2 linked regions of the Tamandua tetradactyla genome follow. The protein of the gene in region 1 interacts with the protein of each later gene in a pairwise test. Links are inferred from orthologs where the notes say so. Each region holds a gene or a part of one and is shown on either strand. Other genes may lie near its edges.

Region 1 (3,746 bases):
TTTATTAAGCATATTCTACATGTCAGTGCTTTATATATTTTCTGGATTTGAAGCTCACATACATCCAAATTTTATAGCCCCAGAGGGTACCTAACTCCACAGAGTGGTGAACAGAGATTGGACCTCAGATCCTGTGACTACTATATAAATTCGAACCTAGATTTAATCCCAACAAAGGCTCCCGTCAAAACATGCTGCCGAGCGAGCTACAAATAGATCCTAATGTCTTCCCCCATCCCAAGTGGGGAAAACAACTAATTCCTTCCTGGACGACAAGTTTGAGGGACAATTAGAATTTTCTAATTGAAAAACTCCCCCACCCTTTTCTATGACCAAAGCAGTTATTTAAACAGTAATACCAGCCATTGGCCTATGTCAATTTGATTTCCTCAACCTACAGAGCAGCAGCCCCTGCCTACAGAAAACCCAGACCTATCCCTGGCTGGTGGGAGAGGTGGTTCTCTGGTTCTAATCATTCATCTGTTTTCTGGGAAAACTGAAGTCCAGAGTTTCTCAGGAAACCCAATGATCTCTTCGGGCGAGTTCCTACTCAAGGGCCTCGTTTTACTCCACAAGTTTAAACTACTAACGAGGCGACCCCGCCTCTTTCCCTCTCCCCGCTAAACACAGGGCCAGGTGTGAACATGGACATTCCAATCCTCCTGCCTTCCCCACTTCTCAAGTAACCGGTGCGCGTGCTGACTTGCATCCGAGGATGTGTGTATCCAACCCTCGGCTCGGCCGGACCCCGGGGACCTCAGGGATCTCAGCGACCCCAGCCGCTTGCCCCACCCCTCTGCCAGCTCCCGGAGCTTGCTCCGTCGGGGGTCCACGCCCTCTGCTCCCTCCCAGGGCTGTCCCAGCCTCTTCCCATCTTCCCCCGCCCCCGTCCCGCCCCGCCCCCGCCCCTTCTCTACTCCCCGGACTCCGCCCACGCACGGTCTTGTCTCCAGGGTGACACGGCGTCCAGAGCTACTAGTTCCGTAGCCCGCGTCAGCCGGGAGCTGGGTTGGCCTTGCGTGTCTGCCCTTCGGGTGGTCGGCGTGAGACGGCTACCAGTGGGTAAGTGGCGCCGCGGCCACTGCTGCTTGCCCTTTCCCCAGCCCGTCCCAGGCCTCAACTAGAACTCTCCGCACCCGGCGCGCGTGAATCCACCAACTTCTCTGCCCGCTCCAGGTTCGGGCTCTGCGGCCCAGCAGCCGGCGTGGGGCCACCCGCGAGGGTGGTATTCACGCGGCTGCAGGTATGCCTCGCGCTCCGCCTGCTCTGCAGTCGTGCGCTGAGGAGGGGATGTTTGTGTCTACGTAAGTGTGAATGATAACTGGAGAGTTCTGCCAGGCATGTCTACACCCCATTCTTTGATCTGCCGATTCGTACGCGGCAATCCCAGCCCCCCCTCCCCAAAATCAATGAAAATAAGGAGGAGCGTCCTTCCTGCTCCTCCCCACCCCTCAACACTCTTAACATTTTTTTGGAAACAGCTTAATGGCCAATAATGATGAACACTCCCTGGCTGCAGTTAAGACATCACTACTCTCCAGAAGTAACTTGCTCGGCTGTAAAAACTTTTAACCGTACGGTCCTTGTTTTCATCTGCAAAATGAGGTGTTTGAACAACGAATCGCTTCTAAGGCCCAGTTGTCAACTGTCTGTGAGATGACGCAATTGACTTGATACTGTGGTCTTTGGGCTGCTCAAACTAGCAAACTAGTTTAACTCCCACCCCTACCCCCGCCCCATAGCATTTAAATTAACATATGGAATAATAAGAAGTTTATTTTTCATTTTCCCAAAGTATATAGGTGAATTGGCTGAATTTGTTCTTATCCCAAGAACGAGGCCCCTGAAAATTGCTTTTTTAAAATAAGTGTGAAAAAAGCACTGAAGATGTCTTGATTTGCTTCATTCTTATGAAAACAAATGCAGTGAACCCAAATTCCAGTTATTTTAAATTGCTTTATTTTATTTGCTAATTGAAGTCGTTTTTGTTTGTGCTTTTTTAATCTCGGGGGCGGGGGGGTGGGGCGGGGACTACACGCAACAGTATCGTTCTTTAAGTGTTAGCGTTTTCCCCGAGCTAACTTCCAGTACCTTTGTTGGGATTCCATTGCGCCCATACCAGAATTCCAAAGCTTCTCTCAGCCACCACCTCCACCAACTGCCCTACATCCTCAGTGGGTTTTCCTCCTTCTTCTTTGCCCTTTCTAGTCTCAATTGTGCACTTAGAACAATCTCCCTTCCTTAGAGTTCACCCACAACTGTCCTTGCCAAGGACCCCCACCATACATTTCTAACTTCATGTACTGTCACTCTCTAACACGCACCTGAGCTATTCTTCCCCCTTTCTATTGACTGACTCATTGCACAGCAAAACTTAGGTAAATGCCATCTTCATTGTGAAACCAGGTGCAGGTCTGCCTCTTAAAGCAGGTGGAATCAATCATGCCTCACTCTGTGCTCACACAGGGCTGATAATTCTAGGATTGTAGCTCGTATTCCATGATATCAGGAATGTTAGCCTTTTTTGGTTTTGAGAAATAGGAGCCAAGGTTTCTTTTGATTTTAAGTGACAGAAACAACGCAGACATGCTTAGGCAAAAAGAGAAATTAATTGGACTGTGGTAAGGGCAGAGGTTGAGCTGTAAACAGGGACTCAGACATAATCAGCGTTATGTATGTGTATCTTTCTCTTGCTCTCTGCCACTTCCCCCTTCTCTCTTCATCTATCATTCCTGGTTTTTTGGTGTACTCTGCTTCATTCCCTCAGGCCAGCTCTTTCCTGGAAGCTAGAACCATGGCTGCTGGGACGGGAGACCAGGACTCATAGTCTTCTACCACTGTGATGTTTCCACTTGAAAAAAATCTCAGAAAAAGAGACTGATGAATGTAGCTTGAATCACATGCCCACTGCTGGATCCAATCACTGTGTTAGCTTATGAGTTACTATTATTGGTCTGTCTTGGGACAGAACATACCCTTTTGTTCAGTTGGCTGGATATGTTAACCAAGTAAGAGGAAGGGGTCTATAGGCAGACAATGTCCATGGTGAGGATACCTGTGGAAATTATAATACTTGGGAATACATGAAACCTGGAGAACAGGCCTCAGAGCTGGATTCTGGAACTGGAAAGTTGTTTAGGGGCAGCTTTGTTGATTGGACTCTTTCAACCCTTCATCAGCAATTTGTGACTTACCTTCTCTTTGCTCTGCCAAACTCACCACTCGTTCTGCCTCTGTGTTTCCAATTCTTCATCTTCTCCACTTCCTGTCTTCTTTCCTTCAGTGTCATCCACCCAGTCACCAAGACTGTTGAAACATATCAGGGGAGTCAGCCCATGTTTCAAAACCCAGAGAATGAACGAAGTAGAGACTGAAAGGGCTGGTAAGATTAACTATCATCAATAGTAATGAACATGCACTTTTTAAAAACCTACTTCATAATCCAGAGGGATGAGGGTTTACAGTTAGGATGGAAATAATCCTACTAAGTACAAAAACAGAATACATACTGCGCTGGTTTGAAACTGTTATATATCCCAGAAAAACCATGTTCTTTTCATCCTAATCCAGGATTGTGGGGCAGACATGTTGTTTGGGTGGGACCTTTTTTTTTGGCATGGGCAGGAAAGAATTCTGCCACTGAGCCACCATTGCACCACCCTGGGTAAAATCTTTTGCTTAGATGGAGATGTGATCCCATCCATTCAAGCTGGGTCTTAATCCTTTTGCTGGAGCCCTATATAAAG
Region 2 (3,746 bases), on another chromosome or scaffold:
CCCAGCAGCGCATCTAAGCTCAGAGACCTCATTTAAACTTCACATCAACCCTGCGGGGTTTGTATTTTTATGCAAATTTGGTCCGCAGCGGGAGGGGACCATTTCCACATTCCGGTGTTGGTGGTTGGAGCAGAAGAGAGGATCCAATTTAAGTAACTGGGTGGGGCACTAATGCGTTGGGGCGAACAGCCGATTTAGGAATACCGGGATGAGCTTTGCGGCGGCCCCTCGTCCTTCTGCTTGACCGCAGTTTTTAAAAAATGTGTGCGATGACAAAAATCACTGTTCGTATTAGTAAATCCCAACTTGAGTCCAATAGCGAACGTTTGCTGAATCGAAGTAGCTAACCGCTTTAAGGCGCACAACATGACCGAACTTCTGCAGGGGACCAGGAAGAACTCCGGGACAGCTGGCCGTGCAGCCACGGGGCAGACAGGACTAGTGCCTTATATCCCAGGACCGCGGGGGCGCTGAGGTGCGCGGGAGCTTCGTGGTTGGTTGGGAAGGGGAAAGTGCTCTGTGGTAACAGCAACTGTGCCGTCCTCCCTGGGTATAAGGGGAAACTTCCTAGGGATGAGCAGCGAAAGTGTCGTGCCGAGGACCAGACACACAGTGGGTTCATTGTTATTGGAGACCCAGAAGCACGGACGCGCCTTGGAAGAGCGCTTCTTCGGGGGCCGGGCCTATTCCAAGGACTTCGCTCAAGGAGCGTCCCGGAGCTTGCATTCCTGGGACACACCGAGTGACAGCCAAGGGCCTGAGCGCGGGACGCAGCCGCGGGGTTGGGGTCAAGGCCGGGTTGGCCGGGCTGCGCGGGGAGGGGTGGCCGGACGCGCGGGGCCGGGATGGGATGTGACGAGCGGCGCGCTGTGCATTGTGGGAATCCCGGGGCCGCGGCTACTGGTTCCAGTTCACTCGGCAACGAAGCCGGGCGGAGGGGGCGAGCGGGCGGGAAACGAGGAGGCAGGCGGGTGGGCCAGCGAGGAGCGCGGAGAGAAAAGGCGCGAGCGGCCGAGAGGGCACAGGCCGAGACACCTTGCAGCTGCCGCCGCCGCCGCCGCCGAGCCGCCCCGTAAGTGCCGAGCGGACCCCCTCGCCGCGCGCCTTTTCCTCGCAGCCCGGGGCCGGCCGTCGCGCGCCTTTCGGCCGCGGTGCCTGGGAGCGGCCCGGCCTCGCGTGCACCCGGGCGGCACTCGGCTGGGCTCTGGCCGCCCGGCTTGGCACGGCCCACGCCGGGGCCTCATGCTCGCCCGGCGCCCTCCCAGGCCCCGCCGGGCCGCGCGGGATTCCTGTTGGTTTTGTTCACACAGCAAACCCGGAAACCAACTTCTCTCACAAACGCGTTCTCCTGCCCTCGCCTTGGCGCTTTTGTGGGAAGGGGACAGTTCTGGCCCCTCTCCCGGCGGACCCTGTCCTGTGTGGACGGATGGGCTGGGCCGGAGGAGGCCCCGCGGCACTGGCTGGCCGGCTTGGGCGCCCGGGAGCCGTTGTGCGCGGAGTTGGACTTGGTGAGGCGCCCTCCGGCCAGCGAGTTGCCGTCCCCGGCACAATAAATCGAGCCCAAGACCCAGGGGGCCGTGGTGTGGGCGTCGGGCTCAGTATCTGCTGGGGGTGGGGGTGGGGGTGGGGGTGGGGGTGGGGGAGGGGGGTGTTCTCGCGGGATCGAAGCCTGCTGGGGCGGAGGGGAGGCGTGGGGTGGGGGGAGTCTTGTTTGAGGATGGACTAGAGAGGGGCACGAGAACCCCCGTTGCTCTAGCCGGTCTCCCCATTGGCCTTTTGTTTGCTTTGTGCTTGGGAGTTGTGCTTTTTAAAAATTTTTTTTAAGGTAACTCAGGGAAGAGACTCGCTGGGGTGGGGTCGGATGGGGAGGCTACTGAGCAGGGTTCTGCCTACTGGGTCACCTGACAACAGGTGTGCGAGATAGCGCGCCCCACCCCCACTCCTGCAGAGACCACAGATTACTCAAGAATCTTGCCAGTAGATTGCTTTTGTTAAAGGTTCTTTTAGATAAGATGCTAGGGAAAATATTTCAGAGTTTAAAAGTGAGAGACTTCCTTGCAAACAGCTGAGATAAACTTTGAATTCAACAATTACAATTACCATGTAGTCCTTGTAAGATTTTTAATGATCCCATAAACGGAATCTGAGAATAGACCATAAAAGGGACACTTCCCTCTTTTCACACACCTTGGTGGTTTGAGGTTTTACCCTTAAGGAGACAGGGAAGGAAGTGCTTTCTTCAGGGAGTCAGGGAGTTTTGAGTAGCTTTAGGTTTGAGTGGGAGACTCAAATTGTAAATTAGGTGGAATCCACACTAGGCCATCTTTAGGTAATATTGTCATAGGTGTTAAATCTGAAATGGACAGCTCACGCCTGCAACTGGAATGAATACCCCTTGTGCACATCTAATCAAAGTTGGGCAGTGTTTAAATATTGCACAAGAAAACCTCTGATAAGGATGGATGTTTTAAACTTGTTTTTTTTTCCTTAAAAAAATGAAACAAAGCAAAACAACCCTCAAGACTTTAAACCCGCCTTCCTGGTCTGTGATTTTGTTTTTAATGTCAGTTTGTTAATGCTGATTCCTCAATATGGGCATTAAGGAGGAATGGGTGGAGAGGTAAATGAAAATTATTAGAGGCAGTGTCTTTAGAATGAGGCAGAATGGGTAACATTTTAGTAAACTTTGAAAATTGTTTAGAACATCACATATGATATTCTAATACACAACTATAAGTCACTGGTTTGATTTATATCAAATGGGCCAGGGCCAGGTGGTGGGGCATCTCAGTCTGCCTTTTTTTTTTTCTTTCCTGGTCCAGGAGACAGCAGAACTTCTGGGAGAGCCCCTCATCTCTTCGCCGTAGAGTCGGTCTGAGTACATGTACTCTGGGACCTGCCTGTAATACCTCTGGGGCTAATATTGCCCCAAGTTGCTGAAAGGAAATTTATTTAAATAAACAAAGCACAAACTGATAACCCCAGCCGACAGTACCTAATAAGAATCTGTATGTGGTGTTCTTTGGAATTGCAGCAGTCTCTCGTCCTTGTTCACCTGCCCCCTCCCTCCCCCAGGGTTTGTGTAGGCCTTTTAAGAGCCCCATTCGTGGAACCTTGCTAGGAAATGGTGAGTGGAGCCCAGACTTGTCCTATGGGTCCCTCTTAGAGATACATTGAACCCTGCCTCATCTCTTATAAGTGAGCCTGAGTGGGTTAGCTATTTATTCCAAGAAGTTGAATACCTTGTTTGCTTGGACAAAGCCTGTCAGAGTGATGTCTTACATTCTTTCGATATATATTCCTGAGGGTCAACTGTGTGTCAGGCATTGGGGACATAGCCATGATCAAAAAAAGCCCTGTTCCCCCACTTAGGAAGTTGATTTTAGGAGAAGGCAGGCAAGCAGTTGTTATGCCATCAGTGCAGGGGCCAACAGTGGAAAATGAGCCCTTACCTGACATGGAAAAGCCAAGTAGAACTTGATTGGCCAAAGGAGGGTAGGTGAGGGCAAGCATTTGAAGCTTTTGGAACCACATGTGCTAAGTCTTAGAAGAAAGAAAATTGAGGTCATACAGGAATCAGGTCATATGTGGATCAGGATGGCAGGAACCTGGTGGGAAATTAGATGAGACTGGAGGGGCAAATGGGACAGATTGCAAAGAATCCTAATCATAACCACATTGAGGGATTTAATCTTTACCTTAAGAGCAATGAGGAACCATTGAAAGGTTCTGAGCAGGGGCAAGAC

The links.
Region 2: the proteins of ERICH2 (region 1) and MACROH2A1 interact in binary tests that used the Homo sapiens proteins (3 or more experiments, as listed by UniProt). The two-hybrid records come from large-scale screens. The link is inferred for Tamandua tetradactyla from reciprocal best matches to the Homo sapiens genes ERICH2 and MACROH2A1.

Annotation. Positions count from the first base shown.
Region 1 is NC_135329.1:142,355,613-142,359,358, forward strand, and holds the start of ERICH2 (glutamate-rich protein 2), read left to right. Parts: upstream 1-950; 5' UTR 951-1,062; intron 1,063-3,746.
Region 2 is NC_135346.1:14,678,429-14,682,174, reverse strand, and holds the start of MACROH2A1 (core histone macro-H2A.1), read left to right. Parts: upstream 1-889; 5' UTR 890-1,072; intron 1,073-3,746. UniProt on the Homo sapiens protein: Variant histone H2A which replaces conventional H2A in a subset of nucleosomes where it represses transcription. Nucleosomes wrap and compact DNA into chromatin, limiting DNA accessibility to the cellular machineries which require DNA as a template.